2 linked regions of the Callithrix jacchus genome follow. The protein of the gene in region 1 purifies or fractionates together with the protein of each later gene. This does not show direct contact. Links are inferred from orthologs where the notes say so. Each region holds a gene or a part of one and is shown in the gene's direction. Other genes may lie near its edges.

The links. Proteins that work in one complex are often made in the same cells at the same time.
Region 2: the proteins of RSU1 (region 1) and PARVA purify together in Homo sapiens (affinity purification with mass spectrometry; 3 studies listed by BioGRID and IntAct, counting the BioPlex papers as one, with this or other methods). This does not show direct contact. The link is inferred for Callithrix jacchus from reciprocal best matches to the Homo sapiens genes RSU1 and PARVA.

What each region holds. Positions count from the first base shown.
Region 1 is NC_133508.1:17,646,415-17,652,957, reverse strand, and holds the start of RSU1 (ras suppressor protein 1), read left to right. Parts: upstream 1-2,909; intron 2,910-2,940; 5' UTR 2,941-2,943; coding exon 2,944-3,052; intron 3,053-6,543. Other genes in the region: uncharacterized protein LOC103794109, read right to left, coding at 1,282-1,296, 2,274-2,909. UniProt on the Homo sapiens protein: Potentially plays a role in the Ras signal transduction pathway. Capable of suppressing v-Ras transformation in vitro.
Region 2 is NC_133511.1:78,369,231-78,375,194, forward strand, and holds part of PARVA (alpha-parvin), read left to right. Parts: intron 1-3,399; coding exon 3,400-3,489; intron 3,490-3,567; coding exon 3,568-3,638; intron 3,639-5,358; coding exon 5,359-5,461; intron 5,462-5,964. UniProt on the Homo sapiens protein: Plays a role in sarcomere organization and in smooth muscle cell contraction. Required for normal development of the embryonic cardiovascular system, and for normal septation of the heart outflow tract.

The sequences.
Region 1 (6,543 bases):
ACCTGCAGGCAGAACACTGGATTCTTGCCGCTAAAGAAATCCAACAATTATCCCAGGGACCAAGGAGAAAAACAAAATACAAACAAGAGAGGAAAGAAACCACTGCAGCTACCTAGAAAAATCAGTTTAGATCTTCACACCTGAACTCAAAAGAACAACCAAGAATCAATCACCAGAGAGAGGAAGAATCTTTCTTTTTTAGGGGAAAGACGAGATAAACACACACAAGAATGGACCCTTGAAGAAACATAATTTAGTGAACAGAAGAGAGGTTTAAAAACTATTATCCTCAGTGATACTTAGGAAGGGTGTTAATACAGAGAAACAAGAGTTGGGCTGTAGTCCCATAGGGCTGGTGTCCTTATAAGAAGAGGAAGATACACCAAGAGTGTGACTGCACAGATAAAATGCCCTGGGAGGACACCAAGAGAAAAAGTCATCCACAAGCCAAGGGGAGCGTCCACAGGATAAATCAAATCTGCTAGCACCTTGATCTTGAACTTCCAGAATTGTGAGAAATTTCTGTCGTTTAAGCCATCCAGTCTGTGGTATATTGTTATGCCAGCCCAAGCCGACTAACACAGGTATTACTGTCTTCAGCCTACATAGTCAAGATTCACTATTAGAAACTGATGGGACAAGGCTGGGCGTGGTGGCTCAGGCCTGTAATCCCAGCACTTTAGGATGCTGAGGGCAGATCACCTGAGGTCAGGAGTTTGAGATCAGCCTGGCCAACATGGTAAAACCCCATCTCTACTAAAATACTAAAAATTAGCTGGGCTTGCTGGCACATGCCTGGGGTCCCAGCGACTTGGGAGGCTGAGGCAGGGGAATGGCTTGAACCAGGGTGGCGGAGGCTGCAATAAGCTGAGATTGCACCACTGCACTCCAGCCTGGCGACAGAGCAAGACTCCGTCACAACAACAACAAAAAAGAAATTGATGGAATAAGAAAAATTCTGATTTTTTTAAAAGCACTTTTGCTTTAAAAGATATAATGATTCAAGAGATATGTATTAGGAGATTACCAACTAATACATATAGATTAAATCAGTGGATGCCAAAACTAGTGGGTAAAAATTAGATGAGGAATGGGACATAACCAAGTAGCACCTACCCCCAAGCATCATTTTTAATCATAAAGAAAAAAATAGTAACTTCATGGTGAAGAAATCTGGCAGATACCACCTTACCAAGTGAACATCACCAATACTGGGGGAAACCAATGTCATCTGCACCTCGATATGCACCGGAAAAGACACATCGCTTTAGTGGTGTTTCTTCAAAAATTCATATCCTGAAAGGGAACATCAGACAAACTCACTTTAAAGGATATTCCACACAATACCTGGTCTGTACTCTTTAATAATGTCTAGTTCAATACATACAAAAGCCAAGGAACAGCTCTAGATCAAAGAAGACTAATACAGAAATAACCTTTTCATCTGAAATGTTTTTTAACCAAAAAAAAAAAAAAAAAAAAAAGAGTGCAGATCTTTTTTTATACAACTGCTTCAGAGTTATGATTACATTATTTTACTGCATCTGAAGGCTTTGATCCCTACTACAATCTACAATATATAAATGCATATGTGTGGTATCCGTCCGTCTATCATCAATGTAGGTGACAAAGGAGAAAAGTGCCTGCTGCCAATCTGTTCCAGAGCATGTAACTGTCTTTCAGAACAGGTTTTTGGGTGAGAGCAGCACAGGATATTGCTGGATGTCTGAGACTGGGTCAGGAAATAGGGAGGTAGAGGGCAGCAGTTTTGCTAGAATTCAAAAGTTGATTGCTTTTGGAAGAGACAGCGGGAGATTCCTGTAAACAAGAATATAATGTTTCACAGATGTGAAAGTCACAACTGGGAAAGACGCATCGCTTTAGTGGTGTTTTCAAATGACTTAAAATGGTAGGGTTTTACTTGTAGCTTCTAGCCCTGAGGGTAGTTCTCGTTGCTCAAGAGCAAAAGGGTCAGGGGTAAAAGCCAGCCTTAGAAACCAACAAGATGTTAAAAAAGATTTCCAGTGGGGCACTGGGAAAACGCAGACCGCGCTGGAATCCCTACCTGGAGGAGCTCTTAATAGGGAGGGAGGCTGCGTGACCCACAGGATCACTCAGAGACACAATATGGAGATAGGACTCAGGGTAGCAGCTTCTGGAGAATGGAGCTGCAATTACAGAAGTGAAACATTTGTAGACAATTTACTCCCAGCTTTTGCCACACCCACCCTCTGTCACCACCTTCCCTTACTCAGTCGAGTCAAAAATCTTACCCGCTTCCGCCCACAGCCCTCTGGGCTGCGACCTACCAACTGAGCATGCGCCAAATCCAGGGTGCACGTACCAACTTTCACCCAATCAGAGTGCCAAGCCGCGGCGTGGACGCCACAGAATTTAACTAACCTCGGCGTGGGGCGGGGTCTCGAAGCGAGTAACAAACGTGATTGGCCATCCTCCTCTACATACTTATAAGGGTGGAGCCTGGTCCGGGAGCCACGTCTAGCAAGCTGTTCTCCTAATTTGGGTAGGGTCGGGCGTGGAGCTGGCAGCGGCGCGGTGTGCGCCTGCGCGGAGTGCCGAGACAGGGCGTGTTCGCTGTTCCGTACCGGTGTTGTGGAGAACCAAGGCATCTCCCGCCGCCGGAGTGCGTCCTGCTGAAGCCTGTGGTTGCACGCCCACCCTGTTAGGGGCTGCTCTCCGCGGTGAGTGTGTGCGGCGTTGCACTTGGGGTTGCTTCTCTTTGCGTGGCCGGATCGGGGCTGGATCCTTCCCACTCCCCTGCCCCGCCCCATTCTCTTCCAGCACCCGGACCAGCTCCGGGGACGCCCTCGGACGCCCACCCTCTCCAACCCTGGGGAAGCCCCAGAGTGGCAGCCAAGGCCTCTTTCCGCTCCTGACCTTCCTGCCATCGCCCACGTGCTTTGTTGTTGTTTGCTGCAGACCATGTCCAAGTCCCTAAAGAAGTTGGTGGAGGAGAGCCGGGAGAAGAACCAGCCCGAAGTGGACATGAGTGACCGGGGCATCTCCAACATGCTGGATGTCAACGGCCTGTGTGAGTTTTCGGGCAGGACCCTCCCGTGGATGAGCTGCAAGGGTTTCTAAGTTTGCCAAGTCACTGTTAGTCCTGCTGAGAGAGATTATAATGGTTTAGACCCCAGTCTCTGCTTGTAAGCATCACTTCTCAGGGGCTTCGCGCAGAGGGTTTGCAGGTGTGTTTGTTCCTTTCCACCTGGAAAGCGATCCTGAGAGTCCACGATGAGAATTACACAGACAGCTGTGCCTCATCGGTTGTCTCTGCTTTATGGCACTGGAGTGGATTTTCCACAGTTTAATAGCCACTTTATTTTTTAATTGAGAATTAATTTTGAGTCTTTCCGTCTCCTAATACAGTCTTTGTCCATGAACAGATGACACACACGAGTTGCATCATTAATAAGCATTCTTGTGCCTGGAGCATTTTAAGCATTTCTTGAATCTTTACTTTCTTTTGAGTGTTTATTCTAACTTGGCTCAGGCTTTTGTTACCTCCTCATGCTGTGGTGAAATCCTCCTAACTTGCCCTTCAGTTTCACTGCGCAGTTTAATCACTGGATCACTTTCAGTGTTATTTTCCTGTAAACTACCCCTCCGCCGGTCTATAGTATTATCCTCTCTCTTAAAATCAGGGATTGCAAATTCACATGCCTTCAAGTGAGGGCGGTCATGAACTCCGTAATACGTATGCCACCTGAAGGGGCCAGCTGCTGCACCTGCTTCTCAGACACGTGTCACCATAGGAATGTTGGCCCAGTGTGCTAGATTATTTTCTTAAAGGAGCCAAGATTCTATGCTTTTATATTTTTATTTTTTAGTTTTTGAGATGGAGTCTCACTCTGTCACCCAGGCTGGAGTGCAGTGGTGCGATCTCGGCTCACTGCAACCTGTGCCTTCCAGGTTCAAGCAATTATCCTGCTTCAGCCTCTGGAGGAGCTGGGATTACAGGCACATGACACCATACCTGGCTACTTTTTTGTATTTTTAGTAGAGATGGGGTTTTGCCATTTTGGCCAGGCTGGTCTCAAACTCCTGACTGCTGGAACTCCTTGTGATCCACCTGCCTTGGCCTCCCAAAGTGCTGGGATTATAGGCATGAGCCACTGCGCCCGACCTGATTCTATACTTTTATATGAAATTTGCTAAGTTTTAGTTGTTGGCTACTAATTCCAACATTTGAAAAACCTGTGATGAGTGAAAGCACTTCTTCAGGCTGACATGGCTTGGGTTTAAACCCTCTCCACATTTCTCCAGGTTTGTTGGGGTGGCGTTCAAGGCCTTTCTGAATCTGAACACAACCTTATCCTTCCATGCAGTTGGCATTCCAGTCACTTGGAACCTATTGCCCTTCCTGGATGAGAGTCTACTCGTTCAGCTCTTGGTGCCTTTGCGAATTCTGTTTTCTCTCTTTCTCACTCTTTTGCACCTGAAATTCTTTTACTTCTAAGAGTCTGCTAGACATCACCACCTGTGTTAAATCTCCCTTTGCACCAAGCTAACATAGCCACTCCCTCTTCTGTGAAGGTGGATGTGTGCCTTGCTTTGTGACTCCTGTTACATAGGATTGTAATGATTTTTTTTTTTTGAGACGGAGTTTCGCTCTTGTTACCCAGGCTGGAGTGCAATGGCACGATCTCGGCTCACCGCAACCTCCGCCTCCTGGGTTCAGGCAATTCTCCTGCCTCAGCCTCCTGAGTAGCTGGGATTACAGGCACGCACCACCATGCCCAGCTAATTTTTTGTATTGTTAGTGGAGATTTCACCATGGGGTTTCACCATGTTGACCAGGATGGTCTCGATCTGTTGACCTCATGATCCACCAGCCTCAGCCTCCCAAAGTGCTGGGATTACAGGCCACCGTGCCCGGCCCCCCCCCTTTTTTTTTTTTTTTTTAGACAGTGTGGCTTTGTCACCAGGCTGGAGTGCAGTGGTGTGATCCTGGCTCACTGCAACCTCTACCTCCTGGGTTCGAGTGATTCTCCTTCCTCAGCCTCCTGAGTAGCTGGGACTACAGGTGTGCGTCACCACACCCAGCTAGTTTTTGTATTTTTAGTAGAGACAGGGTTTCACCATGTTGGCTAGGGTGGTCTCTATCTCTCAACCTTGTGATCCGACCGCCTCAGCCTCCCAAAGTGAGCCACAGGCCTGGCCATGATTTTGTTTTTTTAATCTAGAAGTCTCTCTTCTCCACTGGGACATTGGGAAGACAAAAGCTGTGCAATATTCATGGTTTATAATAGTGCCTGGAGCACAGTAGATTGAGCACAAAAATAGTTGAGGAATGACAAAAATGAAAGAATGATGGGTTAGGCCCATGAGTGTGTGAGATCAGGTCCAGGATGTGACAAGTGAGAAGAAGGGAGGTGAAAGGTGACGGATACCCAGTTAGGTGTGGAGAGAATGGTAGAGTCAGGTTTACTGTGAATCCATGGTTTTGACGGGGACAGAGATCGGAGTTGATGCTATTGCTACGTCTTGGCAGAAGGAAAAGGGAGGAAACGTAGATGATTTGCATTTTGTGGCCTTAATGAAAATATGTGCCATTCAACTTTGTGTACTGTTTAGCCTCTCAGCCTTGGTGTGTGTTGGTCTCTTGCGTTCCATAAGGGTCCTTGCTGTCAGCAACAGAGCAGATGTCTCTGGAACTGAGGATCTGGGTGTGCCCCTTGCTGCCCCTGCCTGGCTCTGCCATGATCATGGTCATTACTGGGGGCACTGTTGATAGGAGGAGAAAGAGAAGGGGATGCCTGGTACAGTGTGAGTCTTGGCCCCACAGCCTTGCTCCCGCCAGCACCTGCTCTCACCATGTAGGAGAGAGAGGCTGCTTTCAGCAGAGGAGCTTTTATACCCTTCGGCTTTTGAAGAGACTTTATGTAATATTTATAAATGGGCAGAGTGGCTTAGCTATTTCGGTTTGGCTCCGTTATCTCTTTGAAGCCTTGGCTTTTATTAAGGAAGAAAAGATAGCCACTTGCTTCCTGAAAAAGTACGTTTCCAGTATAACATTGGGTGGTAAAAAGCAAGATCATTCTAAAATTTTCCTAAAGAAGTAGCTAACGAAGAATAACAGTACTTTTTTGGGAAGTTGGGTGGAAGTGAATTTGGAGATTTCCATAGTCCACCTTCTCTGGCTTCTGTATCATTGACCCAAGGCTGCTTTCTGCAAACTCCCTGACCGCGGGACTCCTTGGAGGCTAGAGAGTTCCAGAATCCTCTTTTGAGCCTCCACCAGGACTCAGTTCTCAGGAGTGCATACACAGTGTCACCATGCTTAATATATGCAAGTATTAAAATAGTTCACATGGCTACCTTAGTATAAGAATTTTTGTTTTCTGCAAACAGGCTCTTGCTGTGACACCCAGGCTGGAGTGCAGTGGTGCAATCACGGCTCACTGCAGCCTCAACCTCCCAGGCTCAAGTGATCCTCCCACCTCAGCCTCCCGAGTAGCTGGGACTATAGGTACACATCACCATGCTTGGCAATAGAGATGGGGTATTGCTACGCTGCCC
Region 2 (5,964 bases), on another chromosome or scaffold:
TGTGCAGTTGAAGGGTGGTCTTGACAGTTTGGATTAGATATTCAACAAATATTTCTTGAGTGCTTACAATGCTTGAGGTGTTGTTTTAAGTAATAATAATAATAGTAGCATATATTTACCTATTTCTTAGCGGCTGCCAGGCATGCTTCTGGGTATTTTGCATATATTAACTCATGTAATCTTCTCAGCAACCCTAGGAGGTAGGCCATATTGCTATAATTCCCATTTTGCAGATAAGGAATCCTAGGCTTGAGAGGCTGATGAACTTGCGCAAGGCCACAGAGCTGGTGAGTGGTAGAGTCTGGATGTGCATATAGGCAGCCTGGCTTCTAACCACTGTACTGTCTGGCCTCTTTGGGGATCTAATAGCGAACAAGAGAGAAATAGTGCCAGTCCTTACAAAACTTATGTTCTGGTGAGGAGAGAGTTAACAAACATATAAATTATTATTTCAGATCATGATGAGAAAATAAAACATGAGAGGGAGGTGAGAGTGCTAACAGAGTCTGATAGGTCATAGATAGGAGTTGAGGTGTTATTCTGAGTATGATGGGAAGTCACTGGAAAGCTTGAAGTAGGAGAATGTATTGATCCTATTTACGTTTTTATAAGACATTCTGGCTGCACTGTGGGAGGTAGATGAGAGCTGGGGAAATGCAAGCAAAGCAGCAGACCAGTTAGCAGGTGGTTCTGATAGTCCAGGCAAAAGATAACGGTGGCTCAAGTCAGGGTGGTGGAGCAGAGAGATGGTGAGAAGTGTTTGGAATTGAGTCCTGGTTTGGAGGCAGAACCCACAAAACTTGCCGGTGTTTCATATGGATGCAAAAGGTGAGGAAAATGAGAACTTAAGGGTGATTCCTCGGAGCTTGGTGTGAACCATGGTGTAAACAGTGGTGCCATCTACTGAGGAGGATAAGAATAAAGGAAGAACAGGTTCGTTTTAGTGCTGGTATCGTGGGTGTGAGGGTGTTGAGAATCTCAAGTTCTGTGTGGATGTGTACATTTGAGAACTCTATTAATAGACTTAAGAGGAAACATGGAACACACAGTTAGATTCATAAGCCTGGAGCCCAGAGCCAGACCTAGGCTGGATATTTAAATATGGACGTGGACATTAGTTGAACGGGATGACCTAGGACAACATTTTCCACTTGATCTTTTTTTTAAATGTTATTTTTTAATTTTCATTTAAGTTCAGTCGTACATGTTTGTTACATAGGCAAACTTGTGTCCTGGCAGTTTGTTTTATGGATTGTTTTCTAAATGCCCAGCAACGACAGGCTGGATAAAGAAAATGTGGTACATATACACCATGGAATACTATGCAGCCATAAAAACAGAACAGGATTATGTCCTTTGCAGGGACATGGAAGGAGCTGGAGGCCATTATTCTTAGCAAACTAACACAGGAACAGAAAACCAAATATGGCATGTCCTCACTTAAATCATGAGAACACACTTGATGATCTTGTGATGGAAGCTTTCTACATCCTTGCTGTCTAATATTGTAGTGCCGGCCATCTGCAGCCACTGAGTGTTTGAAATGTGGTTGGTGCAGCTAAGCAGCTGAATTTTTAATTCATTAAAATGTAAATAGCTCAAGTGGCTAGTAGCTACTGTATTGGACAGTGCAGATCAGTGTAGCTTCAGGAGAGAAAGTCCCAGGCAGGAGCAAGTTCCTTCACTAGCCAGTAAGCCTAGCCTTGTAGCCACATTTAAACATGACTTTATTTCCGCTGCTCACAGCATGCATGGCAACGCTTGTTAACAAAGTAATGAAAATCGTGCTTCTTTGTGAGGAATAGCCTGGGAAAGAAAGAAAACTGGTAGTTCTAGGGGAAATATTAGAAGAAACTAAAGAAGTCTAAGGAAGCAGTTGTGCTTAGCTAGAAAACAAACACAATCCAGTACCTACAGAATCATTAAGCCAGGGGTGCTCAATCTTTTGGCTTCCCTGGGCCATATTGGAAGGAGGAAGATTGTCTTGGACCACACATAAAATACATGAAACACTAATGATAGCTGATGAGCTAAAAAAAAAACAAAACACACACACACACACAAACTCCTGATAATCTCATAATGTTTTAAGAAAGTTTATGAATTTTCTTAAAAATTCTGCATTTTTGGGCTGCATTCAAATCCATCGTGAGTCACATTGCAGCCTGGGAGCTGCAGGCTGGACAAGCCTGATTTAAGCTTTGAAGGTATCCCTTCTGTGTTTGTTACAATTTATGGAGAATGCTATGAAATGGTGTGTGTCTGTGAATTTGGAGATTCAAGGTGGTGACTGGCTGGTACCCTCTATCAATGTCCAGGGCCCACTACAAAGGTACTAAATACCAGCCTCGTCATGAGAGTTGTGTCTCTTCAGGGTATAGTCTGTTTCACTCCCTTTGTCAGTCTCGTTCCAGTACAACTGCGGCTATCAGTGAGTGTGCTGATGTGAAAGAACTCTTTGTAAGTGGCTGCCTTGTGCTTAGGATTTCTTGCAAGTCTATGCTGGCACTTGGTGAGGCCAGAGTCAATAAAAGCAACGTCCCATCTTTCCATTTTATTTTTTTAATTAAGGTTGATGGCAGCTGCTGTGTTAGCTCTTTAAGAACCTCTTGGTGACCAACACCTTCTGAGAAAATGGCCTTTCTGTGCTTAATTGGCGAAAAGCAAGGGGATTTAAGTCACTGCTTTTAGGAGGGGTAATCCAAGGTCAGCACTCACCGAATGTCTGTCACACAACTGGTTTTGTAGGAGGAATTTTTTTGTACTAAGCCTCCATGTGGGGACTGGGCACTTGGAGGAGAGTACCTCAGGTCCCACAGCTGGTTCCATCTGAAGGGATAGGACCAGAACTCAGGGAAGGGCTGGGACCAAGGTATTTTTGAGCAGTGTCTGGGGTTGGGTGGAGGTGGGAGGACAGATAATCAGGAGAGGTGAGAAGTCAGAGGAGGCTGGAGCTGAGGATGGAAATGCCTTACAGGATACATATAGCCTCAAACCCATGACCCTGTTCATCCTGTCAGCAGTCACTGGGCACCAGACAGAAAGTCCTGGAAGGAGGGACGGGCAGGAGGCAGAGTCAGAAAGAAGTCAGCGCCCACCTCGCTTCCGTTTATTCAGAAATCTTTTCAGAGAGGAGGGAGATTTCTGTGCTGTTGAGACCTCCCTGTTTCCCTGAGGAAAGCAAGTGAGGTGACAATTGGCACAGGTGAGATTAAGGGGACAATTAGGTCCTGTCAGCCAGGCGAGGCCGCGAATTGATCGTAGGCTGAGTAACAGCTGTAATCTACCCTTAGTGGGTATTTTTCTCAATGTCAATATCCAACACCCTTGTTACAGAGCTCCAACCCCCTGCCGTCTGTCGTCGGCTGAAATGTGACCCTGCTCTTCCTTTTCTTCCAGTGTCTGAGCTGCAGGAGGAGGGAATGAATGCCATCAACCTGCCCCTCAGCCCGATTCCCTTCGAGCTGGACCCCGAGGACACGATGCTGGGTAACTGTGCTCTTGTCTCTGAATTGGCTTAAGCTTTCCAGTGCCAGCACCCCCACTGAATTCCTTTTCTTTTTAAAGAGGAGAATGAGGTGCGAACTATGGTGGATCCAAACTCACGCAGTGACCCCAAGCTTCAAGAACTGATGAAGGTAAGAAGAAATCAGGAGTGCCTTCTGGTGCCTCACAGACCCACCAGGTGTCCATATGCCACCTGCTGTGAGCAAGCACCCCGCGAGCCCCTCAGAGAAGGTAAAAAGTCATGGCAGCCCCTGCCTCAGGCTAGCAGATGGCCATGGAAAACAACTGATTGTGTAAGCGTGGAGCGTGACAAATGCCCAGTGAGTGGTGCTGGTCATAGCACCAGACAGGTCAGTACAGGTAAGCTCATGTTGGCCAGGATTCCAGAGTGTACAAAATGCTTATTTTCTCAAGAACTCTCAAAAGCATGCACTGGAGTAGAAATTAGTCTCATTCCCATTTTCCGGATGACAAAACCAAGTCTCAGAAAACCCAAGTGGTTTGTTTATGATCATAAACAAGGAGACGGAGTCCAAGCAGAAATAAAGGAGATGAAGTGATATACTGTGCATAACAACTGCATAGTGGCCAGTGTGCGCCTGTCCTTCTAAAACTGTTCATTTCTCCCCTGCATCTTGTTCCTCCTCTTGAGCTTAACCAAGCTGCACTTAAGACAAAAGGCATTCAGGCCTGTTATTCCAGCACTCTGCGGAGGCTGAGGCAGGTGGATCACTTGAGCTCAGGAGTTTGGGACCAGCCTGGGCAATGTGGTGAAACACCATCTCTACTAAAAATATAAAAATTAGTCAAGTGTGGTGGCGCATGCCTGTAGTCCTAGCTACTCAGGAGGCTGAGGTGGGAGAAGGGCTTGAATCTGGGAGGCAGAGGTTACTGTGAGCCGTGATCCTGCCACTGCACTGCAGCCTGGGCCTGTCTCAAAAAAATAAAAAAAAAAAAGCACTGGATGTCAGAGCAATTCATTCCCCACGCAAATCTGAATATGCACTTCCCCAGTGCAAGACCTGTCAGAGTTTCCCATCCACCACAGGTTGTAGGCCACTTCTGGAGGTGGTGTTTAGAGTCTGTGCTCTAACTGCCTCTTCAATCTCAGATCAGCCGCTACCCAGCAACACAGGGATGCCAGACCTGCTCCTCCCAGCAGCCCATGCATGCTCCCAGCACTCCTCACCGCCAAGCCTGGCTAATGCAGTCCCCTCTGACTAGAATGCTTCTCCTGCTCTTCATCTGAAAGTCTCAGCATGGCTACCTGCTCCAGAAAGCTTGCTCCAAACTCTAGTGCCAAGGCTCAGCCCCTCTGCGGCTGCTGTGGCCCTGTCCTTAGCTCTCCAGGTCCCGTTACAGCATCTCATGCACTTCACTAAATGGTGAGCTTCTTGGGGTTAGAAACTGTCTTTTTTGTCCATCGTCGTTGCTTGCCATTAGAGTAAGGAATAACAGGGGCTGTCAATATTAACAGGGACACTGGTGCCAGCAGCACTAGCAGGATGCACATCTGAAAATTAAGAAGGCCAATAGGGCTCACACTTGTAGCTACCTGTGCACACACTGGGTCATGTGGCTAGTTCTGCTTCTTTTAAAATCTGAAGTTCAAAGCTGGGCAGTGAAACGCACCCACGGTCCCAGCTTTACAGGAGGCGGAGGCAGGAAGATCACTTGAGCTCAGGGGTTTGAGTCCAGCCTAGGTGACATAATGAGACCCCGTCTCTAAAATAAAATGAAACTTAAAATCTGAAGTTCATTTACATTTAATTGTTCAAGATAAGAAAGTTGGCCTATAAGAAAGTACCCTATGACTTTTTTCTTATTCTTACACATTCTCTCTCTCTGTAGGTATTAATTGACTGGATTAATGATGTGTTGGTTGGAGAAAGAATCATTGTGAAAGACCTGGCTGAAGATTTATATGATGGACAAGTCCTGCAGAAGCTTTTCGGTAGGAGAGTTGAGCGCTGCAGTGGATGTGGCTTTCATGGCAGGTGGTTGGATCACCTACTTGTAGCTAGAAGGAGTTAGTTATGCTCAGTTTACAGTGGCTTACCTAGAAATGGACTATAAATGTGTGGAGTGTGGAATAATAGCTCAGTGAAGACTTTAGATATACTCTTAGAATCTGTTTCACATGAATGAATTGTAGAAGAAGTCTTCATGACCAGATGGGCCTGCTCCTTCTAGCAGCCGAGGGTCATCAGCTAGATAAAAGGACCCCGCTATATATTTATAGCTAGGAAGTATACCTCCCCCACTCCAGAAAAGCATGCATGTGTGGCCTCTGTAGGTATATGTACATGTGTGGGTGTGAGTATGAATTTTTAGATCTCCATCACCTTCAGATGCATGTGTATGTGTTTATTCCTCTGTGATCTGTGGACTTGTCGGTGTTTGTGTTCCTTCCTGGGTCGCTTTGCAGCTGTTCATATGAAAATGTAAGGACAAAGG